4 linked regions of the Rhinolophus ferrumequinum genome follow. The protein of the gene in region 1 purifies or fractionates together with the protein of each later gene. This does not show direct contact. Links are inferred from orthologs where the notes say so. Each region holds a gene or a part of one and is shown in the gene's direction. Other genes may lie near its edges.

What was found.
Region 2: the proteins of CDC42 (region 1) and CDC42SE2 purify together in Homo sapiens (affinity purification with mass spectrometry; 4 studies listed by BioGRID and IntAct, counting the BioPlex papers as one, with this or other methods). This does not show direct contact. The link is inferred for Rhinolophus ferrumequinum from reciprocal best matches to the Homo sapiens genes CDC42 and CDC42SE2.
Region 3: the proteins of CDC42 (region 1) and PRKCI purify together in Homo sapiens (co-immunoprecipitation; 3 studies listed by BioGRID and IntAct, with this or other methods). This does not show direct contact. The link is inferred for Rhinolophus ferrumequinum from reciprocal best matches to the Homo sapiens genes CDC42 and PRKCI.
Region 4: the proteins of CDC42 (region 1) and IQGAP3 purify together in Homo sapiens (affinity purification with mass spectrometry; 4 studies listed by BioGRID and IntAct, with this or other methods). This does not show direct contact. The link is inferred for Rhinolophus ferrumequinum from reciprocal best matches to the Homo sapiens genes CDC42 and IQGAP3.

Annotation. Positions count from the first base shown.
Region 1 is NC_046292.1:14,899,139-14,906,089, forward strand, and holds the start of CDC42 (cell division control protein 42 homolog), read left to right. Parts: upstream 1-3,932; 5' UTR 3,933-4,055; intron 4,056-6,951. UniProt on the Homo sapiens protein: Plasma membrane-associated small GTPase which cycles between an active GTP-bound and an inactive GDP-bound state. In active state binds to a variety of effector proteins to regulate cellular responses. Involved in epithelial cell polarization processes.
Region 2 is NC_046307.1:7,843,452-7,851,157, forward strand, and holds the start of CDC42SE2 (CDC42 small effector protein 2), read left to right. Parts: upstream 1-4,706; 5' UTR 4,707-4,823; intron 4,824-7,706. UniProt on the Homo sapiens protein: Probably involved in the organization of the actin cytoskeleton by acting downstream of CDC42, inducing actin filament assembly. Alters CDC42-induced cell shape changes.
Region 3 is NC_046285.1:72,048,423-72,056,072, reverse strand, and holds the start of PRKCI (protein kinase C iota type), read left to right. Parts: upstream 1-4,641; 5' UTR 4,642-4,937; coding exon 4,938-5,038; intron 5,039-7,650.
Region 4 is NC_046305.1:1,007,679-1,015,525, reverse strand, and holds the start of IQGAP3 (ras GTPase-activating-like protein IQGAP3), read left to right. Parts: upstream 1-4,830; 5' UTR 4,831-4,888; coding exon 4,889-4,925; intron 4,926-7,847. Other genes in the region: TTC24 (tetratricopeptide repeat protein 24), read right to left, coding at 98-196, 500-612, 748-876, 1,303-1,506, 1,706-2,411.

The DNA of each region.
Region 1 (6,951 bases):
GAGTTTGCAGTAGGGCAGAAACAGCATGGAGACACATGACAGAACAGGGCAAGGGCCTCAAGAAGTCCCCAGAGAAGTGCTATGGGAGTTTCGAAAAGGCAGAGATCGCTTTTGGCAGCTGAGAGCCGAGCAGGCTTTGTGGAAGAGGTGGCACTGCATTCATTCATGCATTATGTATCAAACGTTTTTGAAGGCTGGCAGTGTGCCAGGAAATTAGGTCAAAGGATACAAAAATGAATAAGATAAGATCTCTGCCTGCTCACGGCCTCATGGTTGTGTTAGCACAGATATAAATGATCCCAATAAAGTATGCTTGAAATACAAAGTGTAATAGGGATGCTTGGTGCCTGGGGTTGTCAGGGAAGGCTTCAGAGAGAATAGGAGTTTGGCAGACAGAGAAGGGAACCACTGAATCTGCAGAGGAACAGGTGGGAAAGGACACAGGACAGTGTTGGCAAAAGGGACAGTTCATGGTAGCAAGGAGAGTGGGACTTGACAGCTAGGATGGGTGAGTGGGAAAGGTGTTCTAAACAAAGGGAACAGCATGAGCAGGGCACAGAGGCAAGAAATCATGGTACCTGCACATGGCACTAAACTAAGTAATTCAGTCTAGCTACAGCATAAGTTGTGTGATGGTTAATTCTATATGTCAATTTGACTGGGCCATGGGGTGCCCAGATATTTGGTCAAACGTTATTCTGCGTGTGTCTGTGTGGGTGTTTTGGGGTGAGATTAACATTGGGATTGGTAGACTGAGTACTGCAGACTGCTCTCTCTAATGTGGTGGGCCTCGTCCAATCAGTTGAAGGCTTGGATAGAACAAACTCCTTTGTTTGGCTTTGGACTAAAACTGAAACATTGGTTTTTCCTGGGTCTTGAGGAATTAACAGGCAGGGCAGTATTAACAGGCAGGGCAGCCTGGGGGTCATTGGACTGCCACTGAGACATTGGCTCTTCTGGTTCTCAGGCCCTAGAATGTGGACTGGAACTACACCGTCACCTTTCCTGGGTCACTAACTTGCCAACTCACCCAGCAGATCTTGGGATTTATCAGCCTCTATAGTTGTGTGAGTCGTATATATATATATGGGTAGATAGATAGAAAGGTCAATAGATGTGGATAGATAAAGACACAGATCTTTTCTATTGGTTCTATTCCTCTGGAGAACCCTAATACAGAAGGGAAAAGGAAAGAACTTTGGAAAGGCAAGTTGGTGCTAGATCATGGAGAACACAAAATTCCTGGCTAAAGGACTTTGCATTTTATTTTGAGGATGAAGGAGAAAACACTGGGGGTTTGTTAGCCAGGAAGTGACTTAATAAGAGCTGAGATCTGGAAAGATGAAGGTTGTGCTATATAAAATGAGTTAAAAGATTCTCAAAGGAAACATCTAGAAAGTGGATAATTTTGTGGGATCTATGGTGCAGAAAAGGTTGGGAGTCCCCAGATGAATAAGGGTGCAGGGACCCAAAGTGGATATGGGCACCATAGAAGTTAGAGCAGGTGGCAACTGGAAGATGATTTCAGTGGTGCTGATGGGACTTCTTAGTAGCTGAAAATTTGGAAATGGGGATGGGAATAAGGACTGGAGGAGGTAGAGATTTGGGAACCATTTACATAGAGGGTGGTGGCAAGTACCACAAAGGAACAGACATGGGGGGCAGGGGTGGCAGAGTGATTCATCAAGAGTCTTGCAGTTGTGAGAGAAACCTACTCAACCTGGCTCAGGCAGTACAGGGAATTTATTGGCTAGTGTGACTGGAAATTGAAGCAAAACAGAATCCAAGGGCTCAAACGACGCCACTGGAACTTGGTTTCACTGTCTCCATCTCTCAGCTCAATTTTCCCCCTCTGTCTTCATCTCATTCTCAGGCAGTCTCTTTCTTTGCAGTGGGAAGATGGCTGCCAGCAGTGCCATGCTTACACGTTGCCCTCAGCAGATAGATTCATTCAACTGGACACTTCTGGCCAAAGTCCCCAAATTGACTCTTGTTGGGGTTTATGGGGTCCTATGCCCATTGTTGAAATGCTCTGGCAAGAGGGCTCTCTAAAATGCAGTGATTGGCCAAAGGGGCGGGAGTTAAGTCATTTCCTCTAGAACCACTTGGATTGAGAATGGGGGTGGGGCTGCTCCAGGAGAAATGGAAGTGCTGTGACCAGAAGAAGGAGGAATGGGCACTGGGCTGGTAACCACAGGGGAAGGGGTGCTGGCAACCCCCAAGCTGCCCTGCCTGTTAATACGAGGCAGCTGTAGCAAATGGGGCTGTGGAGGGGGTGGGGCACGGGTGTCTGGGAGGGCCAGCAGCAAGGGAAGGGGTAGACTGGGGTTAAGTAGTAATGCTACTGCCTTTTGGGGCTGTGAGGAGGTGGTGGTGGACCCCTCTGCCAAAAACCTGGCAACATAATAGACCAAGTGCTAATAGACCAAGTGACGACCAAGTGTCCTCAGAATAAAGGCAGGAAAAGCCAAGCTGTTGGGTGACACCCCATCAAGATATTGCTGCTGATGGAAAGGGCAGACATTGTCTGGGGACATTCATGGGATTGTGAGACGGGATGAAGGAAAGGTCACTGCCAACTGGCCTTGCAGTGGAGAAAACACAACCACTTTTCCCTGAAGTTTAAGAAACTAAGCTGATGCGTTTTTACAATAGTCAAAAAATTTATAATAGCCCCAAATAACCTAAATTCCAATAGAGGAGATTGGGTAAATATTGTAACGCCCATACATTAGCATACAGCCTTTACAAATAATGCTTTATTTGACATGGAAAGATGTTCACAATGTAGTTTTTAGAGAGAAAGGCAGATTACAATGTTTTTGCGCAATAGATGTGTGTGTGTATGCACACATATATATACGAGCGTAAATAAATATCTGAAGTGTACACCAAAATGTTAATAGTTGGTATTATTAGGTGTAGGACTACAACTGAAGCTTATTGTTTGGTTTGTCTATAATAAGCCTGCTGGGTAGTATGATAATGTAGTTGTCAACTAGAGCCAGCTTCCTGGGTCCAAGTCCCAGCTCTGCCACCTCCTGCCTTGGCAACTTTGGCTCGTTCCCAACACCTCTGAGCCTCAGTTCATATATCAATAAATGGGGGTTCTAGTTCTTCACTCATAAAATGGTTGTTGAGTATTAAATTAGCTACTATTACACCCAAAGTTGTTAGCACCATACCTAAACACTCAAAAATGTAGTTATTCTTCTTGGGTAATTAATAAGTCCCAAAGAAAATGTGACTATTAAATCAAATATATTGGAAACGTGTCTTTGTTGGCCAAATATGCTTGGTAGTCATCAATAAATGAACTATTAAGATAAGCTGTTTTCCTCTAACACTGGGAAACATACGAGAATATGACAGTGAAGGTTGCCATTTTCCCAAAGCTTGCACACTCACAGGGAAGACAGATGATAAACAGGTGCTGTGAGGATAGGATGATCAGGAATGGCTGAGAGCCAACGAAAGGGCTGGTGACAGGCAGGGGCAACAGTGAGTGCAAGGCCTTGCTGTGGGGAGGAAGTGTCTAAACCGAAAGAAGAATATACACCTGGAACGAGGGACACGGGTGTAGGCAGAGATGAGAACAGCTCTCATGCCGCGGCGGACCCACAGGCCTGGGGAGTCTGGACCATCCACCTGCAGTGGTCTCGGGCAAGTCACTCTCACCCTTTGAGTATCCTCCGTCTTCTATGCAAAATAGGGATAATAGTACTTTGCTTCACAAAGTTGCAAGGATCAAAAGCGCTCTGCAAACGACTGCTTACAGTATTATTACAAATACGTAACAACCATGAGAGAGAGACGTACGAAGATCAGCCACAGACAAGAAAGCGGCGCTGAGCGGCGCGTGCGCGTTAGACTGTCCGAGCCTGGGCGGGGGATGAATTCAAGCCCCGCCTCGGCCTCTGCTGGCCTCCCGGTTCCTCCCACTTCCGCGGGTACCCAACCGTGCGTCGCCTGCGTGCTGACGTCAGGCGCGTGCCCCTGTCCGGCAGTCGAGGAGACCCCGCGCAGTGCTGCCAACGCCCCGGCGAGAAGCTGAGGTGAGTGCGGGGCCCGAGGCTCCCCGCGGGAGCGGCGTCTCCGTGGTCCTGGCCCCGCCGCCCCCAGCCTCTCCCGTCCGCGGGGATAACCCGCCTCTGGGATCCCGGGAGGCCGAAGAGCGCGGGGCGCGGGGGGGTGGGGTGGGGTGGTGGCCAGCTCGCGCTGCTCCGTCCGGGGGAACGCGAGTCCGGGTTCCTTCGGGCAGTGGAGGGGAGAGGGTCGCGAAGGGGAAGGCGGGGGGCGCCCGCTCCCCAGAGAGGAGCGCGGCGGGGGCGCGGGGTGCTGGCCTGAGGGCGCGGGCGGGGCCGGGCTGTCACCGGGCTGCGGCGGAAGGAAGGGGTCACACCCATCTCGGCAGCCCGGGCTCCCCTCCCCCCGGCCGGCTCCGAGGGCGGACGGCAGGCCGGGGCGCCGTGGGCCTGGGCCTTGGAGCCGCTGGCGGGTGCACAGGCCGAACGAAGTGTCGGTGGCCTGGGCTGCCGGCCTGGGTCTGCCCCCTGCGCTCCGGCTTCGACTTCCTGCTTCGCCCGGCGCGGCCGCGGACATTTTGCGGCGGGCGGGGGGAGGGGAGCGGAATTGCTGGCGCGGCGGGGAAGTGGTGGCCGGGGAGGGGGCGGCTCGTCGGCCGCCCCGGCTTTGGCTGCGACGCGCTCTCCTCTGCGGCCTCGCCGCCCGACGCTTCGAACGGGCTCGGCGGGCCTGGTCGTGGTTTCTCCAGTCGCCTTTATTTTTGCCTTAGGCTGAGTTTCTCATGCCATTTCCGTTTGCTTCTCCAACTCAATCTTCCTGCCTATTCAACCGAAGCTTCCTTTTCAGGGAGTTACCTAACCACCTCCCGAAACTGTCGTTTGGCCACTTGCTTAATTCCTCTTACTAGGGGGATATTTTCTTTGTTCGTTTTGTTTTCCCCCCCTTTAAGTCCAAGAGAAATGCAGTGTGGAAGATTACGTCACCGCAATATAAGGAGTGAGAGTTTTAACTCCTGCAAGTCAGGGACTCATCAAATTAAGACAGCATTTTTCAGCCTTAGTTGAATATCCTGCCTGCTTCCTACATCATATTCAGAGGTGATCTTTTCAAATCCCGGCCGTCTCAAATGCACCTAAAAGCCAGGAAGGTTTAAAATCTCAAGATTAGTTTCTGCCAGGGAGTACAGCGCAAAACAACACCTTCTACAGCTACTTGTGTAGGCGATAACTTGAAAGATCCTTTTGTACTCGAATGAAATGAATTTATTTGTGGAAGCATCTCTTTGGTCCAAAATGACTTTTCCCGACTGTTTAACTTCTCCCATCTGACTTAGATGCAGACTACATATTTAAGTTGATTCACGTGCCCTTTTTGGGACAAGAGTGTGGTGAAAAGAGAATCAGTTCATTTTATGCCTAATCTTTGCTTGCTAGACACTTTTAGTTTTGTAATTAAAAACAAGGTTTGGATTTTCAACCGAAAAAAACTCGAGTGACATTTTTAAGCCATTTGGGATCCCAGTATTTGTTCCCCAAAATGTAAGGTACATCCTTCATTGACTACAGGGTATACAGTAGCACAGAAAAATGTTAGCATTGTAAAGCAAATGAGATCAGTTGTGTAATGCATTGTTATAAGTTCTTGTTGGAACAAGCACTTTCCTATTGTTTCTCATTTGTATAGAAAGAAGGGGTTGCTTGTTAAGAAACACTTAAAGAAGTGGTAGGGTTAGGTTTAAATCAGCTTTCTGTAGTCTAGGTGTTGTAGATTGGATAGGTGTGGAGCTTGGATCTTCAAATACATTTGCCATAATCTCTTTTTAAGAATATAAAAATGGAACACTTATCTGCTGCCTTATTTCTCGAGTCTTCCACATTTAAGAAGTTGAATTACACATACATCAATTTGTATCCTTCCTTTTAAAATATAGCAGAATAGTCTTGAGTTTACAGTGTTTAGACTGAAGCAAGGAGTTGAGATTGACAATTAATTGAATATTAAAAGTGAGCTCTTTTCCAGTAATTTCTTCATGACCTAAAAGGTATCGCATCCTCTTAAAATATTTTCACATAACAACCAACGACCGTACTCAGTTAAATTTAATTTTTTGGGAAATAAGACAGGTGTTACAGCCTAGGGTAGTCAGGACTTAAACATCAGTGAGATTTTTAAAGCCCACTAAGATCAAATCTTGACTTTTTTTGTAACATCAAGATTTGTTTTATTTGGATACTTTTTTCCACTTAAATTTTATGGTCTATTAGAAAAGCATTTCTAGTTATTTTTAAAATGGTTATAGTAATGTTTTGATCCAAGAGCTGTCACATTTGGAAAGTTTTGAAGTACAGTTTATTGTGATTGTCTGGGAGCAGTATTTATAGGCATTCTTGGAAATAAAAGTCAAATTGTACTTTTACTGGTAGGTACATTTTAAATGCATGTATTAGGCTGTTTTTTGAGTGGTTGAGGAACACTTAATGAGAAGCATTTCAGGCTACAGGGCCTCTTCAGGACAAGGAGGGTTAATATTTTAACTTACTTCCCATAAATAGATCTATAATCCTCCTATAATAAAGGGCTTAATTCTAGGCCTTCAATGTTCAATATTCTCTTCCAAATCTATTAGTTTCACCTACTAGAATGTAAGTTCTATGAGGGCAGGCTTTGACCTGGCATGGTCATTCCTGTATCTCTAGCACCTAGAATATGCCAAACACATACCATGTGTCCCCCAAAATAAGACCTAGCTGGACAATCAGCTCTAATGAGTCTTTTGGAGCAAAAATTAATATAAGACCCGGTATTATGTTATGTTGTATAAGACCCAGTTTTATAGTAAAATAAGACCGGGTCTTATACTAATTTTTGCTCCAAAAGACTCATTAGAGCTGATTGTCCGGCTAGGTCTTATTTTCGGGGAAACAC
Region 2 (7,706 bases), on another chromosome or scaffold:
GGGTGATATGAATTCACCTTTTTCAATATTGATAAAATAAACAGACTCAAGAAACACCAGACAAAGACAAGATTCAAACAATATGATTAGAAAGCTTGACTTAATGGACACACTTGCAGAAAACACATTCATTTCAAGCACACAAAGAACATTTTCAAAAATCAAAAATGGGCTGGGCCAGGTGTCTAAAGTCCCAGCGAGGTGAGGCCACAATGTCTGCTAACCCAGGAGTGCGTGGGGTGCCACAGATTTCTGTGAAATCAGGAGCAAGAGACGCTGACGAGGAATCTGCTCCAACCCTTGAGATGAGATGTTATAGCAGCAAGATCTACTGGTTCTCAAAACCTGAAAATATGTAGATCACTCTGAAGAAAGGGAATTCGCTGTAGGAAGGAAACTCAGGATAGTTTTCCTACCAGAAAAACAAACAAAGTAAATGTGTATTTTTTTATGGCTAAAGTTAGGGACTCAAAATTATGGGGTGGGGGGACCATGATAAGTGACAGCAGGAACTGTTCCTACAGTATACAGAGAAAATGTAAAAGAAAAGCCCAAATATTGGCTACCAATGGCTCAGAAGTGCAGCCAGCCAGATAACCTGGAATGTGTTTTGCTGTTTCTGTGGAACTAAAACCACAGACAAGCAAATGACTGATAGGAAAACCCAGAATGGGACTAAGAAAGTCATGTGGACAGGAAAGAAAGGACAAGGATTATGTCAGTTCCCAACTCCTCTTCTCCCAACGAGACCCTATTCTTGAGTTTGCTGAATACCAGAACTTACAGTCATTATTTCTGGGGTTTGTTTGTTTGTTAATTTATTTTTGTTCTGCCCTGGGTTTACTGTTCTTTTGTCAGTCTCCAAGGTTGATATGGACGTCTGGGTACTGGGCATGCGGGTTGCGTTTATTCCCTGTAACCTTTGTTGGTAACTTCCATAATAATTGTCCAGATTCATAGTCACGAACAGCTTGTTCTTGTCAAGATTGTACGTTAATGTACTGATTGTTACACACTGCTGTCTTCATTGCTCAACAGTCCTGAGACTGGTACAAGTCAGGAGTGTTTGGTGTACTTACTGTAGACAACTGAGGCTTAAAACAGCACAGTAACTATCGTCATTCCCATTGTGCAGTGGTTCCTAAATTTTGCTACGTATGAGAATCACCTGGATTTTTTTTTTAAGTTCATTGGGGTGACAATTATTAGTAAAATTACATAGATTTCAGGTGTACAATTCTGTAATACATCATCTATATATCACATTGTGTGTTCACCACCCAGAGTCAGTTCCCCTTCCATCACCATATATCTGATCCCGTTTACCCTCATCTTCCATCCCCCACCCCCCTTACCAGATGAATTTTCTTATATATATTATTAGAGCCTTTACCTTTTTTTTCTTGACCCAACATTTTTTTTTTTTTTTGAAGGGGAACAGTGTGTACTTCCAGGCCTGTCCTCCAAGTCAAGTTGTTGTCCTTTCAATCTTAGTTGTGGAGGGTGCCATTCAGCTTCAAGTTGTTGTCCTTTCAGTCTTAGTTGTGTCGGGCGCAGCTCAGCTCCAGGTCCAGTTGCCGTTGCTAGTTGCAGGGGGCACAGCCCACCATCCCTTGCAGGAGTTGAACCGGCAACCTTGTGGTTGAGAGGATGCACTCCAACCAACTAAGCCATCCTGGAGGCAGCTCAGCTCAAGGTGCCGTGTTCAATCTTAGTTGCAGGGGGCGGAGCCCACCATCCCTTGAGGGAGTCGAGGAATCGAACTGGCAACCTTGTGGCTGAGAGCCCACTGGCCCATGTGGGAATCGAACCGGCAGCCTTCGGAGTCAGGAGCATGGAGCTCTAACCGCCTGAGCCACCGGGCCGGCCCCTGACCCAACTTTTGTTAAAAGTAACATTCCTTTAACATCAAAATTTGTGACATTTACATTTTAACCACAAACCTTTTATTTTCTATTGTCACAGTAAAATTCAATACTGCATACTTTGTCCTTTTGCCATAGTTTCTCTATTTATCTCTTAGTTGGTTGAAAGTGAATCTTCAAGTAGTTTGTTCAAGAAGAACTAATGGGTATGATATTCCCTGAATTCTTCCATATTCAGAATTGTACTTATATTGCTTTTATACCTGAAAAGCAACTTACCGGGCATGAAATTCTTGAGTCACACTTTCTATCCTTGAGGACTTTGAGTTCTTTGAGGACATTATTTTACTGACCTCTAATCAGGGCCATGGTGAAACCTGAAACACAGTTATTGTGAGTTAAACTTTTGCCTGGCAAACCAGTTTTCTTTCTTTATCTTTAATGCTCAATAACTTTTCTTGCTAGGATATGTTTCATGTTGGTTGGTTCATAGTGGAGTCAAGTCACCTCTTATCTGGAGAAAAAGTTTTCTTGATTTATGTCTTTAAATACTTAAGATGGTCCTTTGGGGCAGGGGAAGGGTTCGTATTTGAGGACACCAATTGTATACATGCTGGGTCTACCCTCTCATCTTCCTTAATGTGATTAAGAGTTACCTGTAGATAAACTAAAGCAAACAACATTCTAAGTGGGAAAATATTAGAAGCATTACTTTTATAAACTGGAATGAGACAGAGATTCCTCTGTTGTCTTTTTTATTAAATCTTACATTGGAGGTCCTAACCAGTATATACGAGGCATAAGGTTTGGCAAAGAAGGAAATAAAATGGTCAATATTTGCAGTTGATATTGTTTACATAGAAAACCCAAAGTAATCTACAAATTCACAAAATGTCCAATGTCAGACAAAAGTCAGTTGCATTCCTATATACGAGCACCAAACAACTAGAAAACGTAGTGAAAAAGAAACTATTTACAGTAATATTAGAGAATATTAAGTCTCTAAGAATAAATCTAACATAAGATATTCAAAACCTTTTTAGAAGAGAGTTTAAAACTTTGTTTAAAATGATCAATTATAACAAATAAGCCACACTAATACAAGACGTTAATAACAGGGGAAGCTGAGGGTTGGTAGATGAGGGGTATATGTACTTTCCACCCAATTTTTCCGTAAACCTAAAACTAAAAAAAAAGTCCATTAATTTTAAAAATGTTCTTTAAAAAAATACATATAGATGTAATAAAACTATATAAAAACAAAATGAAGATATAATACCGTGTTTCCCCGAAAATAAGACCTACCCCGAAAATAAGCCCTAGTTAAGATCGTCAGACGGACACATTTAGTACGTTATGACGATGTTCCAGAAGATGACGTGACTGTATTTGAATAAATGTAGATTGTTGTACATGAAAAAATAAGACATCCCTTGAAAAATACACCCTAATGAGTCTTTTGGAGCAAAAATTAATATAAGACCCAGTCTTATTTTGGGGGAAATATGGTATAAGACCTGGTCTTATTGTCGGGAAAACACGGTACTATAACTATAATGCATAACACTATGGCTACTTATCAGAATTCTTAACAAATAATTCTTATCTTAATATTTTGTATATCTGCCTCATTGATTTACAATTATCAGTTAGTGGAATATGAAAGTAGAACTGAAATTATTTCTTGGTGGGCAAAAGAATATGTTGGGAAGGTCTTGCTGGAGCAAGAAACTCTAATAAGCCCCTTTAGTCCTTTTCAATTTCCTAAACCAATAAATTTCTGTAGAGATCATTCTTTTTACTAAAGGTAATTATTATTATTTTTTTTAAAAAAAAGACCTTTTATCTTCTCTTCATTTAAGCAATTCCCATGAACTTATCAAATGGTCAAAACGTTAATGCCCCCCCCCCAAATAAGTTAATTTCTTTCTCTTTGAAGACATAACCTCTTCTAAGACATTCTCATCATTTTTCTCTTTGCACTTAACCTACTTTTTAGTAGAGTAGAATATGCAGTTCTATACTGTGAGAGAAGACAAAGTGAAAAATATTGTCCTGGAGAGAATACATGAATAGCAGAATAAGTCATGGAATGACAGTGCCCATTGAATCTCATGTGTGTGCGATTATTGTTCATGAGATAATCCTAGTTAATTTTTAAAGAGCTCTTCAGATTAATGAAAAATTAACCAGGAAGAAACCAACCTCCACAGTACTGATGACTTCTTAAAAGGAAACCGATGAGCACGAAATAATCATGTAGGTGCTATAATTCCATTTCGAGTTTTCACATACAGCCCTTTGTGAATGAATGCTACATGGAGCTTCTCAAGGAAGTCATTGAAACGAGAATATTTTGAAGTTCAAAGAGTATGTATGATACATTAATGATATGTCCATATATATAAACTTTATTCTTAAAGTAACATCAGTCATGCATTTTGTCTTTCTGCCTACTTATTACCATCTTCTACATAAAGTCAAACTCCCTAGCATGACCCCATCCTGTTCTGCAGGCCCAGCATCATTTCCTCTGTACACCCACAGGTACCTTCCTCCAACCCTGCATTCCTACTCTAGTTCCCTAAGGACATCACACTCTCATCTCTTCCTGATGTCATCCATGTTGTTCTTCGATGCCCGTAAATCGCATCCTTCCTTTCTTAGATAATTCCTCAAGTACCTGCTCTTTTAGGAATCCTTTCTGGATCCCCAGAGGCTGTCTCAAATGTCCTCCACTAGAATTATCTCTAAGATAACACTGAGCAAACTGCCCAACTTCCTCTTCACACCAGAGTACTGCTGGTGCCGGAAGCTGTGGTGGCAGCTTCTTGATTCAGCAGCTTCCTGAGTAGAGCTAGAGCCAGAGCAGGGGCTCTGCAGACACTGCATGTGGCTGCAGAGCAGAGGCCAGAGAATGAGACATTCATCCCGAGGCCAGGCTGGCCTGAGAATAAGGTAAGACTAAGAGTTCTGTTGTAAGTGAAGGATCAGAAACAAAGAAGAGACAAGTTATGGGTATGAGAGGCAGAGCCTGGGAAGACTTTAGAGGCAGAGGGATGTCAGAGGTGCAAAAAGCTGCTGGGATGCAGAGCAGTGCTGCTTTTACTCGTCTCACCATTCTCCATCCCCATCTCAAAAGCCTACAGACTCCCGTCAGTAAATCACCACTGCCTCCTATGGGGCCTGCCACACTGTAGGTAGACAGCAAGGATCTGTTGAGTTGAACTGAGACCTGTTAACTATCCTTTAAAGACTATTTTCTAAAACCTCACAAAAAATAATTTTCTAGGAAACCCTCCCTCATCTCCCCTAAAAAGGATTCTGTTCTTATAGATAACTCGTGGTAGCTTTTTTGTGTGTGTGGTATTTCTCAATCCCTTTCAGTGTTCCACCTTGTATTGTACATATTTGGATGTGTCCTATTTTTTTTCTATCTGAATGTATCCACCCTAAGGGCAAGATCACTGTCTGAACCGTCTTTGAATGTCCCCATATGAGTGTCACAGACTGTGTGGGAGTCTTCATGGGGCTGCTGTGTACTGCTCCTATTCTTCACCAGTTCTAATTTGCTTTAGTCCTCATTTTCACATAAGGGAGATTTCGACTTAGAAAGTGAAAACAAGCTTATGTAGAATCCAGAAATCTAGTCCAATGTTTTCAAAGGAAAAGCAAAGGAAATAAATATATAATCCTCTACTAAAGTTACTTTAAAAACTAATGTGTATTTTTTGTGTGTGCAAGATATCTTTTTGTTTTAACCTAGCTATCATGGTTCCTAGTATTACTTTACTTTGGCTTTGTACCTCTGATTTGTGGTATGTTGTGGAATTTGAAATCAGAACCCCATGTACCACTTATACCCTGATCTTCTAACTGAAGTGTGACTCATTGTAACTAAATGATGGTAAACAAAACAAAACAAGACAAAGCAAAAGAAAACCATCCGGGTTTGGTATGTGCCAGGGTGTAATGTGTGTGCATATGTGTTCTCATACGTCTATAATTATCTACTTATCATCTATTTATGTTTATTTTAGAATTAACAAAGAGTAATGGAGAATTTATTGAAATATTAATTTGGAGGTCTAGTGCTAAGCTGTCCAATACCATACATGCATGTTGCTACTACATGTTGCTACTGAGCTCTTGAAACACAGCTATATTGGATTGAAATATGCTATAAGTAGAAAAAAATACAACTAAATTTCGAAGGCTTAGTAAATATATCATTAATATACTTTTATATTGACTGCATGGTGAAATGACAATATTTTGATACTAGGTTAAAATATATTATTAAAATGAGTTTCATGTGTTTATTTTTACTTTTTTTCCATGGGGCTACTAGAAAAATTTAAACTACATATGTGGCCTGCATTATATTTCTGTAGGACAGTATTGGTCTGGTGTATGCTATAGTTATTTTTGCTTTAAAAACACTGCAAGGAAGTTGTGAAAAAATTCCACTCTAATAATGGAGACAAACTTTTCATAGACAAGTATTGACAGTCTACTGTGCTGCAGGCACTGAGACCTTATATAAACTATTTCATTTAATTTTCCCCAATCTTATTAGATAGGTATTATTCCTGTTTTAAGATAACTAGAGCGGGGCTCCAAGAGGTTAAAAAATTTTCCACAAACCCATGATCAGACAGCTAGCAACCTGCAAAGCATACTCATAGCCACCTGACCCCAGAGATCATTCCCTTTTTATTAGAATGCCTTTCCTTTTCAGAGGCTGGTACCATATGCTACCAGAGATTCTACCATCCACAATTGTGAGGTCTCACCAGCTTGTTACTTCAAAATAAGGTCATATTTCCTTTTTTACCCAAAAGAAAATAACATATATATCCCTCACAGGCCAAATATTAGGAATTCCCATCTTTTCCCTTCCCCATATAATCATAAATGACCAAAGGTTGTTTACTAATGCCTGAGAATTGATCTGTTTATCTTTGTGGGTTGATGATAGAGAGGAAACTAAGATACACTCGTGAGGCTGGAGGGCCACCTCATATCCTGTCTAGAGAAGGGTTCATTTAGTGACAGTGGTTGTGGTAGTTTTCTATTGCTGTGTAACACATGACCACTAGTGGCTTAAAACAACATCCATTAGTTAGCTCATATGATCTGTAGGTCAGAAGTCCAGTATGGTGTTACTGAATTCTCTGCTCACAGTATCACATGGCTAAAATCACAGTTCCTGCAAGTCTGAGGAACCTGAGACTGGGGGGAAAATCTGCTTCCAAGTGCATTCTTGTTGTTGACAGAATTCAGTTCTTTGTGGATATAGAACTTGGGTTCCTGATTCTCTGTTGGCTGTCAGCCAGGGGCCACTCTGCTTCTGGAGGCCAGCTGTTTTCCTTGTCATGTGTCCCATCCCCCATCTCCAAGCCAGCAATGGCACATCAAATCTTTCTCCTGCTTTGAATCTCTCTGACTTCTCCTTCTGCCACCAGCCATAGAAAACTCTCTGCTTTTAATAAGGGGCTCATATAATGAGATCAGGCCCACCCAGATAATCTTATGTTAAGGTCAACTGTGACATACAACAGAACGTAATCATGGGTATGGTATCTCATCCTGTTCATAGATTCCAGGGATTAGGGCTTGGGATACTGGGGGCAGTGGGTGGTGCATTTCAGTAGACTGCCCACTACAGTCCTGGGGATCATATGGGGCATGTACACCCCACAGAGGCAGTGGCAGGGGGCAAGGTATCAGAATCCTCCCAGCTACTTAGCTTGGCTCGTCCTGGGGATAAAAGCAAGAGCTGACTCACTGTCAGGCAGTAACATGTACTGGGCAAGGAGTGGAGGATGGGATGTGAAG
Region 3 (7,650 bases), on another chromosome or scaffold:
ATCTTACATATAGGAAATTCTAAGGAATTCCCTATTAAAACTAAAAACACTATTAAAACTAATAAATGAGTTCAGCAAGCTTGTAGGATACAAGGTATATGCAAAATTAATTGCATTTCTGTACACTAGCAATGAATAATTAAAAATGAAATTAGGATGGGAATGTAATTGATGTAGCCACTATGAAATACAGTATAGAGGTTCCTCAAAAAATTAAAAATAAAACTATCATATGCTCTAGCTATTCCACTTCTGGGTAATTACTCAAAGAAAACAAAAACACAACTCAAAAAGATATCTGCACCATGTTCTTTTAGCATTGTTTACAATTGCCAAGACATGGAAACAACCTAAGTGTCCATTAATGGTTGAATGGATAAAGAAAATATGATATGTATATATGTACATATGTATATATATATACATATATATATACACACACACATATATATATACATATATATGTATATATGTGTGTGTGTGTGTGTGTATATATATATATGTAAATACACACACAAAAGAATATTATTCAGCCATTAAAAAATATCCTGCAATTTGTGACAATGTGAATGGACCTAAGGACTTTAGGCTAAATGAAATAAGTCAGAGAAAGGCAAATACCCTATGATTGCCCTTACAGTGGAATCTAAAACACAAACACAAAACAGAACAAAACAAGCCAAACTCACAGATACAGAGAACAGATTGGTGGTTGCTAGAGGTGAAGGGTGGAGGGTGGAAGAAATTAGTAAAGGTGGTGAAAAGGTACAAACTTCCAGAGACAAGATTAGTCCTGGGGATGTAATGCACAGCATGATGATTAGAGCTCATACTGTATTACATATTTGAAAGTGGCTAAGAGAGTAAATCTTTAAAGTGTTCATCACAAGAAAAAAAATTTGTAACTGTGTAGTGATGGATGTTAACTGGACTTATTGTGGTGATAATTTTGCAAAATATGTCGAATCATGTTGTACACCTGAAACTAATATTATATGTCTTTTATATGTCAATTAAAAGAAGAAAGAAAGGAAGGAAGGAAGGAAGGAAGGAAGGAAGGAAGGAAGGAAGGAAGGAAGGAAGGAAGAAAGGAAGGAAAGAAATCCCCCAGGACATCCCCCTTAGGTTCTGTTTCAATTGATCTGGGATACCCTCCCACTACCACCAAAATAGCTTATAAAAAGCTCCTCAGTGATTCCTATGTGTAGTCAGAGCTAAAAGCCACCAGTGTCTGTATTGATAGGTGAAATAAAATTCTAAAACTTCATGAAATTAACACACTTTTAAGTAATTATTTCTCAAACATTTCAGGATTCCAGGCATTTAGAATGCTCATTTAGAATAATAGAATGAAAAAGTTAAAAAAATGAAATTAAGAAAACAATTCCATTTATAATAGCATCAAAAAGAATAAAATACTTAGGAATAATTTTAACAAAAGAAATGCAAATCACACTATGCAAACCACAAAGCATTGTTGAAAGAAATTAAAGATCTAAATAAATGGAAAAGACATTATGTGTTCATGGCTTGGAAGGCTATATATACGGTTGATATGACAATACTCCACACGCTGCTCTACAGGTTCAACACAACCCCTATCAAAATCCCAACTGACTAGTTTGAAGTAATTGACAAATCGATCCTAAAATTTATACGGAAATGTAAGAGACCCAGAATAGTCAAAACGATCTTAAAAAAGATAAAGTTGTAAAACTCAAATTTCTCTGTTTAAAATTTACTACAAAACTACAGTAATGAAAACTGTGATTTTTGTATTAGGGATAGCTATATAGATCAATGGAATAGAATCAAAGAGTTCAGAAATAAACGCTTACATTTTGGTCAATTGATTTTTGACAAGGGTGCAAGACAATTACATGGGGAAAGAATAGGCTTTTCAACAAATGGCACTGGGATAACTGGATATCCATATGCAAAGAAATGAATCTGGACCACTTATATTACACACAAAAATTAACTCAATATGGATCATAAACCTAAACATAAGAGTTTAAACTATAAAAGTCTTAGAAGAAAACTCATTGTAAAATCTTCATGACCTTCGGTTAGTCAAAGCCTTTTTAGACACGACACAGAAAGCATAAGCAGCAACAACAAAATAGATACATCTGACTTCATCAAAATTAAAAACTATCGTGCTGCAGATGATACACTCAAGAAAATGGAAAAACAATGCACAGAATAGATAATATTTGCAATCATCTAAAAAGGGACTTATTTCCACAATATATAGAGAACTCTTACAACTCAATAAAAAGACATAGGGCACCCAACTTAAAAATGGCCAAAGGATTTAAATAGACATTTCTCCAAAGGAAATATACAAATGGACAATAAAAAATGAAAAGATTCAACATCGTTAATCATTAAGGAAATGCAAATCAAAATCACAATGAGATACCACTTTCACAACCACTGGGGTGGTTATAACAAAGAACACAGTCCATAACAAGTGTTGGTGAGGATGTAAAGAAATTGGACCCCTCATACAAGGCTAGTACAAATGTAAAATGGTGCGGTCACTTTGGAAAACAGTTTGGCATTCCCTTAAGATATTAAACATAGAGCCACCGTATGACTCAGCAATTCTACTCTTACGTATATGCCCAAGAGAATTAAAAACATATTTCACACAAAAACTTATATATGAATGTTCATAGCATCGTTAATGTAGAATGTTTATACAATGAAATAGTATTTAGCCACATATGGGAATGCAGAACTGATATATGATACAACATGGATGAATCTCGAAAACATTAAGCTAAGCTAAAGAAGCCAGACACAAAAGTCCACACATTGTATGATTCCATTTATATGAAACGGCCAGAATAGAAAAATCCGTAGCGACAAGAAATACACTAGTGGTTACCAGAGGCTAAAGAGAGTGGGGAGTTACTGCTAATGAATGTATAGTTTCCTTTTGGGGGGATGGAAATGGTCTGATATTAGATAGTGGAGATGATTGCATAACTTTGTGAATACACTAAAAATTATTGAATTATATACTTTGAATGGACAACTTGTATGGTATGTGAATTATACCTCAATAATGCTGTTAAAAAATTATGGTCATGCTTTGCTTGATAATCACAACTAAAAGCTTTCATCATTCAGAAAAAGAAAACTTATTTATATGGTGGGATGAAGCAAACTATAAATATTTATAGATTCTTTTTGACGACAAAGTAAACAATAAGCCTTTTCTGAGAGAATGGTTACCTTCAAAGGATGCTATAAGGCCAATGATAAAGGATTTTTCAAACTGCTAAGGAATCAGTATCCAAAATAAAACGGTTTCATGCCTTACCTTTCTAAAGTCTCACTTCCCATATAGCAAAAATTTCCTTTTTTAGAGCATATAATGTTTAAAATTTCATAATGTCACAAGCATACCAACTTTTCCATTAGTCCAACTAAAATTTCACAATCTCATTTTAGAAATAGTTTATATTTCATAGCTAACTGATTCATATTTAATATGCTGATGGAGGTCCCCAAGTGCCAAAAATCCTGTTACCAAGGGAGAATTTCAGTGGGGACTTTTATTAAGAGCATATAATCCAAGTTTGTAGCAGTTGAAGAACATTATACCAGGTTAACTGTCACAAATATCTCTGATGAGTCAATCCCATAAGCCTATTTTATCATAGCAAAGACAGTTATTTCGTTAATTATTCCACCCTTTTAGCATGGGTTGGTACCAAGACTGACGCAGGGGCTGGATTCATGCTACGTCTAATTGCAGTGTGTGATGGAGCCAAGACCAGTGGAAAGGCAGGGACTACGCTACAAGGATAGATTTTTTATAATCCTTGGTTAGCCTGTGTTAACAGAAACAATGCTGATGGATGGATGGATGGATGGATGGCCGCAGGCATAAATATTCATCGTACACTTGTTCCATGCAATGGCAACATACAAGGGCGCAGATATGGGGGCCACGAAGGAAGAAAAATCAGTCTTCCATCGCATCTTCTGGTTGAGTTTCCACCTTTATTACATTTGTTACATTATTTAATTGTTTCCATAAAAGAGTCTATGCTAAACAGGTAACCAAATTTGTATTGCCAAAAAAGGCATTGTATAATTGAGATGATTTATGCAATTGGAAGGGAGAATTCATCAGAGAACAAAGTCTAGATCGTGACGAAGCCCAGTCATTTCCAGTGACCTCAGATGCCCAAGCTGGATTCAGGATTTCCACGCCAACAGTTCCTGGGGCGCAACCTGGAGACACTGTCAGAGAGAAGGCGGGGCGTTCCATACGTAAGGAACCTCAAGTCCCAGAATCCCCCGGGGACTCCAAATCCCAGAAACCCACACAGCAAATCTAGCCGAATCCCAAATCGGCTGGCCGCGGACGCGACCAAGTTAGGAAACTGGGGTGAGATGCCGCAGCACTTGTCCCCTACCATTTTCCCTATAGGGAGGGGGCTTTTTACAGAACTATAGTTACTCGAACCGTCGCATTCTCTCAGTCACAGATTCCACGAAAACCTCCCTCCCGGCGTATTTGATGTGAGCATCAGCGTCTCCCATTCTCTCTCCCCCTTTTTCCTTGCCCTCCGTAAGAATGGTTCAGCCGGGCATTGAGGCTCCTTGAGTTGGATAGGTGGTAGTGCCCGCCCTCCCGCGGAATGTGGGCCTTTGGAGCGAGCGAGGTGGGAGGGCCGGAGGCAGGGAGGCGTGCTGGGCCCGGGCGGCTGTAGAGGCGGTGGCGGCTGTGGGCAGTGGGAGGAGCCGCGCGGTTCCGGCTGCCCGGGCGAGGCGACCCTTGGGTCGGCGCCGCGGGCGAGGAGAACAGGTAGGGGAGCGGACTGCCGCGGCTCTGGGAGAGGCTCGAGCAGCGGAGCCCCCCGGCGCGCCCCAGGCACCCTCGGCCTCCGGCGTTGAGGCGGGGGAGTAAGGAGATGCCGACCCAGAGAGACAGCACTACCATGTCTCACCCGATCACAGGCGGCGGCAGCGGGGACCATTCTCACCAGGTCCGGGTGAAAGCTTACTACCGCGGGTGAGTGTCTGGGGGTACGGGTAGGAGGGGAGGGGGAGGGCCAGCTGGATTTGGCCTGGCGGAGGGGTGGGTGAGGGAGAGATGTTGTGGAGGGTTGATCTGAGAGGGCGACTCTGAGGACTCGGGATGGGTGACCGAGTGGTCGGGGGAGGAGCATGGGGCGCTGGATCGGGGCACCCCCAAGGTGTGGTGCAGGGCACCCGGGAATCGCGTGGCTGACTGTCCAGAGTAGAGTCCGCAGGAGGAGCCTTGAAATAGAGTAGGTCCACCTGGTGGGTTCGCGAGACTCGCCTACTAAGAAATTTACAAGGGTTTACGTCATTAGGTCTGGATGTATTTGGGGTTGTGAGAGTTGATTCCAAGTGATGCCTCAGTTAACTTAAGTTGCTATGGGCTTAAACGGCAGGACTGCTTCAGTTTGCTGCCCTTTTGATTTCCAGCAGGCCTAAAGCCTTGGGTTCTCCAAGTCAGGTTTATCTTCATCACCTGTAAGAATTCACGAAGTGTATCTGGACTGTGGTCAAGCTGCCAGTAAATTAGACATACGAGTTACTATTTAAGAGTGAAGTTGATGTGTTTTCAGGGATGTACCTTACGTACTTATGTTTCTCCAAGATTAGATGTGTACGTGTAAAGTAAAATTTTGTGAATACTTCTTTGTCATTGTGGCTTCAAGGATGGTCCCATAGGGTGAGATAATGCAAGGTGAGAAGAGGATGAGCCTAGGCAAAGCTTGAAAATCTGTGATCTTTACTCATGTTATTTATTGCCTAAGTTATAACTCTTGTGGTTACCAGAAATAATCCAGTCCTGAGATCATTATGTTCAGTCATATTCCATGATCAGTGAAGTGCCCCCCTTCCCTTGAATTCAGTTGTGGTTTGAAATTTCTTTGGGGTAATTATATTTAGGAGCATTAGAACAGTGAAATGCTATTGTGAGCCTAAAAGTTTGAAACTAAGGGTTAACAGAAAACCCAACAGCTTTGGCCTGTCTTAGTGCTTGTCGAAGCAGAAGTAAATTGCTTTAAAAAAAAACTCAAGCACTAGGAGGTTGAAACTGCAATGCATACTTTTACATTCCTGAGAGTATCAGTGAAGATAGCAAACTTTCAAAATGCCTCTGTTTTTGATTTCAAAGAAAATATAAGTCCCTAAATGTCGTATTGATTTGATGTAAGGACATACTGGTTTAGTGTGTTTGCTCCATGAAGCCTCTGACCTCTGTGTTAGCTTGACTGCATTCAGGAGTAGTTTACAGGAGATCTTTTGGACAGTATCAGTGATTTTGCTTAAATTGGTCAAGGAGGTCTTGATTTTAAAACAGTACCAAGAAGTGTGTGTAGGTTTTTAAAAAGTTTGTAGTTGTCACAGAGCTGTTTTGATTAAGGATGGTAAGCTATGAACTTTGCACTATGGGGAAAAAAGCTTTCCTCCCTTTAGCTTAACTTTTATTTGATAGATGAGATATTTCACTTTAGAATATGTTCCATTTTATAAAGTTGACAGTCCATGAGTTGTTAGGTACAGAGAATGAAATACAGTACATGTTCTTTTTTTTCTTTTTTTAAAGTGTCTGATTATTGACAATTTAAAAACTAGATTGAAAAATGAATATACGTGTACACAGATGGTAGGAAAGTGCAAATTGTACAGAGGTATAAAATAAAAAGTATTCCCCACCTCATCCTCCCAAACTCCAGAGGTAACTACTATTGACAGTTTATTTCTGGTTCTTCTGGAGGTTGCCTTTATTACTTTAAAAGTTATACTTCTGTTTTGTGATATATCAACTTTAGATAGTATCTGTTGATACTCTGAAAGATGAGAAATTGGGTGCACACAGCCTTTTGCTTTTTCTCCTCCTGGTGCCTCTCAATTTTTGATTGTTAAGCTATTATTTTTAGTTTTCCAGTTTACCTTCATGACTTTAAGTAATATAAATTCTTGACTTATTAAATTTAGATAGTTTCTAGTGATTCCAACTATGAAAGATGAAGAAACTAGTGCCTCTTTGTTTTGTTCCCATTTTTATTAATTTGACAATTGTAAATAGGCCTAATTAATAAATTAAAATCATTGTAAGTTTCTCCTTTGGAAAGAAATCAAAGCCTGGTATATTTCAGGAATGCATTATCATATTTTCTTGGCTCATTGCTCCAATTATTTAAAAAGGAATAAGGAGATAATAACCCTTTTAGTGCTTGACTAAAATTTCTCCAAGACATTAAAGTTAACATTTTCTTTGTTTTTTAAAACCTATGAATTTTTGCTAAGGAATGAAAGAACCCCTTGCTCTGTAGTGCCTTTAATTCAATGAAAGCTTTCTAATAGTGCCTTCATCTCGGGCCTCACTTAAAGACAGCATCAGCACTCTAAATTGTACCAATTTCTGTCCTCTGAAATTAGATCTGTTAAGATTATATGTTTATTAACAGTGGTCTAAACTGATGGGTACGATATGACACAGTCAGCTGCTCATTACTGCAGATGAAACTAAAATGAGTCACCAGTGAGGATAGTGAATAAACAGGTTGGCTAACTAGAACACCTACCTGATTTTAAAATAGAAAATCTTTCCTTTACATCAAGTAATGGAAGGACAGTCTGCGT
Region 4 (7,847 bases), on another chromosome or scaffold:
CGCAGTGTCCCTGACCTGAGAACGGCAGCTCTGCTTACCTCCCCCTGCCCCCAGTAGTCTCCCCACCCCCAGCTCCCTGTCTCGGGTGTCTTCTCACCAGGGTGTGAGTTGGGACCAGCCCCCCTCGGGCCAGGTGGGTCCTCATGGCATCCGCCAGCTTGGCCACCAGCCGCTCTCGCACGGAATCTGGCTCCTTCTGGGGAGAGGGAGGGCAATGGGGCCATGGAAAAGACCTAGGAATTGGGGAAGAAAGGAACAGGAAAGGGAGGAGAGAAGGGGACTTTGTCCTCCTTCTCCTTTGCTTCATCCCCGTGCCTCTGCCAGGGTCCTGCCCAGAACAGGACAGAGATGGATTCTTCCCCACAACAGTGTCCTGGGACCTAGCGCACAAGGTGCCCAGGGCATGTTTGATGAGTGAATGAATGGGGGAGAAGGCACGGCCTCGAGGCAGGAGTGTCAGCGGGCTGGCAGGAAGTTGGGCCCCGAGGGAGGGTCTCACCTGACACCGGGCCAGCGCTGCCTTATAGTACGTCAGGGCCTGCTCATGCTGCCCCAGTCTGGCTGCGGCTGCCCCCAGGCCCTCGCAGGCCTGCCACTGCCCCTTCACGTCACCTGGGGAAGACAGCCTGACAGGTCCTTTCATGGCTCCTTACCCCACTGACCCTCCCTCCAGAGGTACTCCCACCCCCACCCCCCCCTTGGGTGGCCCCAAGGACTCTCGGCCACCTGCTACCCCCTGGCCCTCACCTGCATCCTGGGCAGCCTGCAAAGCGTGCAGGTAGTTGTCCCTGGCGGCCTTGTGGTCCCCTAGCTGGCTCAGTGCAAACGCCAGGCTGCCGAAGCTCCGACCCTGTTCCCACCGCTGCCCCACAGAGCCTGGTGACACAGCCCCCACCATCCCCAGAGGGCCTGGCTGCTGGGGCATCCGCACCCTGCCCCCAGCAACCAAAGGGCGGGGTGGGAGGGTGGGTGCACACCTCCAGATGCACAGAGAGGCCTGAGAGGTCCACACCCAGCCTCTCCCCAGTCTGAGTTTTGGCCTGAGTGCCTCCCTGGCTAGTCTGAGCCGGGCGGCAGGCCAGGCTGTTCCATCTCCCAGCCCCAGGCTTCTCCGCTGGGCCCACAGCCCTCTGTCCTGCCTGGCTGTCCCACTCCTGCATCCCCAGCCCTCAGCGCTGGTTCTGGGCTTCCCGGCCCCACGGCTGGTCCTAAAGGTCCACCCACACTTCAGCCTTGGGGCCCCTCCCGGCACCCCCCCTTAGTCCCTTGACCCCAATCCCATCCTCCAGCCCCGGCGCTCACCATGCAGGTCGGCAGCCTTCTGGTGGAATTCCCGGGCCTCCCAATAGCTGCCCAGGGCGTTGTGGGCCATCCCTAGGTTTCTCAGCACTGTGGCCTCCTCTCCGGGCCCGGGGCACAGGGGCAGGGCCTGCAGGAAGGCCTCTGCTGCTAGTGGGAACAGCTGGAGCTGGCAGTAGCTCAGGCCTAGGTCGTTATAGAGTTGCCCTAGAGGGCGAGGCCAGGGTCACCGGTGGCCAGGTCAGAGGCAGCTGAGGCTGTACTGGTGTAGCCCCTGTCCCACTCTCCCAGGGCCCCCCGGCCCCATCCCCAGCCCTCGGAATTGCCTCTGCTTCCACCCCACCTCCCAGAGCACCCCAGGTCTGAGTGTCCCCAGGTCCCATGCCTCACTCCCCGAACGCCTCACCCAGCAGTCCCCGCTCAGCGCTCTTCTCAGCGAGCCTCCGGCTCTCCTCCAGCACCCGCACTACTTCTCCCACACCGTGCTGCCCGCTCTTCAGCAGGCACCCCGCTGCAGCCCCCAGGGCCAGGGCTGCAGCCCGGGGCTGCCCTGCTTGGGCATAGGCCCGGCTCGCCTCCTGCAGGTAGTGGGCTGCTAGCTCAGGCCGTCCCAGAGCCTGGTAGCAGGTTCCCATTTTGGCCTGGGCTTGCCCCTGGTCACTGAGTGGCTGGTAGTGGCCCAGGGCCCTGTGGTACCAGGCCAAAGCTTGAGGCAGGTCCCCCAGGGCATGGTATGCCAAAGCCACGTTGAAACACTGGTCACCATGACTCCTGCCCTGTGCCTTCTCCTCAGGCTGGGCTCGCAGGAGCAGCTCAAGGCCTCTGGCTGGGTCCCCAGTCTCCACGTAGGCAGCCCCCAGGTTGAAGGCACAGGCCCGGAGAACAGGGGTGTCCCTTTTCCGTGGGGCCTTGGAGGCCAGGAAGAAGGCCCTCTGGAAGCTGGTCAAAGCCTCATGGTTCCGGCCGGCCAGTAGGGCCCCGTGGCCGGCCCTGGTGAGGGCTTGGATGCTGGCCTCGTGCTGTGGCCACTTCCTTCTCTTCTCTTTCTTCTTGGAACTTGAGAGTTCAGGCTCAGGCTCTGGTGGGGCACCGTCAGGGTTGGGGGACGACATGGTGCTGCCAATGACAGCAGACAGCACAGGGCCCAGCACGTCACCCTTGGCTTCCTCCAAAGCAGGATCCCCGTGTCCCTGCCCTGCTGGGACCCCAGGGCTTCAGGAATGTCTCCGTGGCACCTACTCCATCGGTCCCACTGGGCACCATGCCAACGCACTCTACTGTCCCGACTAATTCTTAGTCCTCCTTCCAGACTCAGCTCAAGTCATAGCTCTCCCCCGCACCCCAGCCGGGTCCTTCTGTACGCCCACCCCACCCTCTGTCTTTTACGGCACCTGTCACACTGGATCAGAGTTGGTAACGTCCTGTCTCTCTCCCATTCAGATCTGGAGCAACTCGAAGGGCCTGGCACATAGTAGATTCTCAATAAATGTTCATCAAACGAGACGGAAGGGTTCTGGGGACGGGTGGTCGTCGTACGGTAGCACAACACCGCGAGTACGCTCAATGCCACCTAACATGGCTTAAAATGCCATATTTTATGTTCCCTCTGTTTTACCGCAACACCGCTGTTTGCTGAATGCATAAATGAATGGACGGAAGAACAGAGCAGACCCAGGCCTTCTCCTCCATCATCTTCTCCGTCCTGTGCCTCCGCACATACCCATGCACTCGTAAGCTAGGTGCTCCTGCTGTCTAACCCCAAGACATAGTTGGGGGTCACTTCAACAAATACTCAGTGAGCTCCTGCCATGTGTTAGAGCCACACAAAGCCCTGGGGGCACAAAGCGGAAAAGGCTATCGAGTTGGCAAGGAGCCAAGGTCCAGAAGTGAGCACATGTCTATTTACTGCCCGCTCTGGTCCTCAGGGGGGAACTCTTCCTCCCCTATCCCTTTGGCTTTTTGTCTGCTGGCTACTTTTAGTCCCGCAACACCCTGCTCTGGTCTCCAGGCGACTCTTAAACCCAAGTACACTTCTTGGGTTTAAGCCTTTTCATGAACTCTCCTCCCAAGAGACAGAAAAAGGGGTGGAGAAGACCCAGGCACTGAGTCCTCAGCCCCACCCATTTTCTTCTCTCCCTCCCTCCTCTTTTTAGGAGGAGCAGGCTGAGGTGATACATTCTCCTTTTAAAGAAATTCCCACGGCTCCTAAGAACACCCAGGACTCCTGCTTCTTGAAAGGCCCTCACTCAGTCTTGGGGCTGCAGCCATAAGATGCCTTACCTCCTTCCTTCCTTCCTTCGATCTTCTCCACAGAGGGCTTTCTGGAATGGTCCCTCTGGCTTGGGTTACCTCCCCCAGCTCTCAGCTCAGAGCTGGAGGGTTACCAGACAACCAGGTACCGCCCCCCTCTCCTAGTGAATTCTTTGATTGACAGATCAGGTGCCCTATCTTAGACATAGATACCTGGATTCCACCGCCCTTCCCGTCCCATCACTCCCCACTCCTTCAGACACACCCCTCAAGTACCTCTTCAGGGGCTTGTTGCTAGTTAGAACCTCAAAGCTCATCTATGCAGTACCCCTATTTCACAGAGTGGCGGGGGAGGATGAGTGGGGGACCCAGGCTCAGAGAGCAGGTGTGACTTGCCTGAGGTCACAGAGCAGCCAGGCAGCTGGGATTAGACCCCAGGTTTTCTGATTCTGAGCTGACTAGCTTAGCAGTACTCTTCACTCACTGTGACTGCAAACTTTGACGAGGCTTGCGCTGGCGGGGAAGTGAGCCCTTACACGCATACACACGTGAGCAGCCACACACACTCACACGCTTGCACACTGTGCTTTTGTGTGGTGGTCTCACAGTTGGGAACAAGGTGAAAGGCTGATGGTCAGAAGAGGCCTGGGGATCAGAAGAGCCTCCCTGCCCCATTTCCCCAGCTCCACTGCTCTGCAGCCCCCAAGCGGTGCTTCATGAGCGGGCGGCAGGCCCCAACTCACCAAGCTGGCCTTGCATCAAAGCAGATGCCTTCACTCACCTGGGGAAAGGCCTCTTTAAGTTGGCAGGGCTTTGCCCGAAACAGTAAGGCAATAGCGGGGCTCAGCGATGGCCTCCGCCCTCTGTGTATCACTGATCTCTGACTTATTTGACCGTATGTTTATCACTCATTCCAGAACAGCAAGCTTCTTTAGGGCACTCACTGTGCTTATTCATCTGTGCACCGCACCACCTAGTTTAGGTAGGGCACCGCCCCCAGCAGGCCCTCAAGTTAGCGGGACCAAGAAATACTGTAGGAAGCGGGGCGGACTTAATGGGAATACTAGGGGGGAAATGACAGGGGCAACGGCAGGGGCAGGGGCCGGGGCTGCTTGAAATAAGACGGTTTAGCAACGAAGGAGCCCAGGAGGGACAGCAAGCCAAGGTGCCGCGAGGAGGGCGGTGCTCTCGTGCTCTCCACCTGGCGGTGCGCCTTTGCAGCCTGGAACTACAAATCCCAGGGCCCCCTGCGCGCAGACCGGAAGTGTCCTGTCCGACCTTGGCGACGGTGAGGGGCGGTGGCCGGCGGCGGGAGATTCAAACTTGGAGAAGGAGCAACATGGAGGGGAGAGGAGCGGGCCCTGGCCGGGCTGTCTGTGAGTGTCAGAAGGGGCGGAGGAGGGTCCAGCGGTGGTGCCAGCAGTCGGGGGCGCGGCGGTCGTGGTCTTGGGAGAGGTTGGGGCGGGGGGCGGGGGGCGGGCGCGGGGCCTCCAGGCAAGGGCCGGCGGGACACTGTTCTGCGCGGGAGCGAGCGCTGAGTCCGGACTCCCGCGGCCGGAGTAACGCTGTGAGCAGCCAAACCTCCCCGACTTCTGTGCCGACAGAGCGTTTTCTCTCTTATTCCCAAGTTCTGGGGTTCGGGGGCTGGGAGAAGGTAGGTGGTCTGGGTGGCCCCTTAAAATTCGGCGGTTGCTGATGGCTGCCGTGCTTGCTAAGCGCTGCCAGGGGACAGGACGCCGGAAGAGACCGACCTGGAGGTTGAGGGGAGCCAAAGTTGTGCCTCCCCAAAATATGCCTTTTGGGATATTGATTTTAAGCTGGTTATTAGGGAACAAGAGACTCAGAAAGAACCTTTGACCCTCCCCTTACCTGCCTGAAGGAAATCGGGTAGAAAACCTGCTTCCAGGAAGGGAGCGTCCCCTCGGCATGATACTGTGAACTAAACGAGGCAGACGGAGAAGTCCCGCAAGGGCTGTTTGTTGAGCCCCCCTGCGTGTTCCACTTTCTGCGTGGCCCGGCAAGAACTCTGCACCACGTGTTTGCTCTTCCTCATCTACCTGAGACTTACCTGCTTTCCCTTTGGAATCCCAGACCTCTGCCTCCCTCTCCTTTGTCCAGAATAGCATATTAGCCTCAACTGCCCAATGCCTTTTGGGGTCTCATATTCTTATGGCACCCCCCCACCTACATCCGTGATCAACTTTGGACCTTTTCTTGTGTTAATCTGTCTCCTGTTAATTTGATGATTAGCCCAGCCAGAAGAACTTAGAAAGGTGAGGGGAAAGTTATTTTTTTGACCCCCACAGGGGGCTCCTTGACTTTTCGATGCCTCTTTGAGACAGTGTCTGTTGAACGTCAGGGTGTGGGAATTACCAGGGGAGCGTGTTTAAAATGCAAATTCATGAGCCCTCACCCAGAGCGGCAGGTCCCCCCCTGGGTGGGGGCCCATCATCAGCATGTATTCCAGCTCTGCTGTGCTTCTTCCTCACCTCAGGTCATTGTGATGCAGGTCGTTCCTGGGCCACACTTTCCAAATCACTGCTCTAGAAAGAGCGATGAGTCCGAAGGATGGGGCCGCAGAAAGGTTCCCATCCGACCTTCGGAAAGAAAGGCCAAATCTCCTCTCCCACCCTTTTCCCTTCCTCTCCATTAGCTTTCAGAAAACAAAGTCCATGTTCAGCAACGCGGTGAAGGCAAGCTAGTTCCAGACCTGAGAAGAGCGGGAAGACTGATTTTTTTTTTTTTTAGACTGTGTGTGTCTGTACAAAGCCCCGCCCGTCTCTCATAGTCCTGAATTCATAACTCGGAGGTGATGTCATTCACTTACTGGTTTATTTTCCATGCTTAGCAACCAGCAACCAGCACTTGTTCCTTGAACACCCCCTCGGAGGAACTGCTGGATTTCCTGCAGTTGGCCAGTACTTTCAAACCTGCACACAGAGGGCGTGTGTGTGTGTGTGTGTGTGTGTGTGTGTGTGAACTGCCAATTCAAACAAGCCCTGCCCCTCCCCCAAAAGATTGAAGGATATGTAATAAAAAGAAATAAGATAAAGAGTGGGAATGACATTAAGTGCTGAGGCAAAGACAGATTGGCCACGGTCTGTCTCTTTTCAAGCCCTCCGAGTTTATTTTCTTGGGGTGTGTGCGTGTGTATGTGTGTGTGTGTGTGTGTGTAGGCTTCTCTCATCCTGATTCTGTGTTTGTCTAGAGAGATGGGGGACAGGAGAAAGAAGGAGAAGGGGTGGCTGTGGCCGAGGCAGAATGTGAATGCCCTCTCATTTCAGGGGTTCGCTGTTCTTGAGTTTGGGGGTCAGAATATTGTCTGCATTTAGCCTGGAGATTATTTATTTAGCCTGGAGATTGTTTTCCTCCTGCAGTGACCAATACCAAAAAGGAGAGTAAGACACCACCTTTGTGATCTTTGAAAATTCTTTGTCCTTCCGTTTAATCCCAAGTGACTGGCCTTTTTCACGCGCTGCTCTCTGAACTGCCTTTCTTCCTTTCCCACCTGCTCGTTCTTTAAGATTCTTTAAGGTTCATTTCATCGGTAGAATCCTTTGCTTTCCCTGCTGTTGGTATAGACTGTTCATGGGCTGTAATCACAGCACATGAGGTTGGAGTTTTTACCTACATGCTGTCCTATTCTAATAATTACCTCAGTATTTGTCGAGAGCAGGGGTCCACCTGTCATGTGGAGGTACTGGGTCAACGAACGGCTGTTGAATGACGAGTCCTAGTCGGTTCTGCTCACCGAGGCTCTGGGACAGTACCTGAGGACACAAGCCCTGTTCTTGGAGAACTCAGTCTAATTAGGGATGAAATAAGGGGTGAAGTTCCCAGCCAAGGAGCGATGTGGACATCCCTGCTGGGAGGCACTGAGGGAGGGTCCGTGACGTAGATTTGGGAACGAGGAGGGGGTCAGGAAGACGGCTGGGGAGGACGGGGAGGGATGCGTCTGAGACAGAAGGGTCCCCTGTCCATGGGTGGAGAGCCCCCTCCCACAGGGTGCTGACTAGGGCAGCTTTGCTGGAGGGGGCAGAAGAGCGGAGCCAGGCTGTCCTGGGAGGAGGGAGGGAGATTTGGGAGATGCGTCCGGTCTTCGAGCAGTTGCCAAGGCCAGTCTGTTAAGAAGAAGCTTCAGGGAGAAGTGGCCAAATGGCTCAGGTGGTTAGAGCGCGAGCTCTTAATGACAGGGTTGCCGGTTCGATTCCCGCATGGGATGGTGGGCTGCGCCCCCTGCAGCTAAGATTGAAAACGGCGACTGGACTTGGGGCTGGGCTGCGTCCTCCACAGCTAGA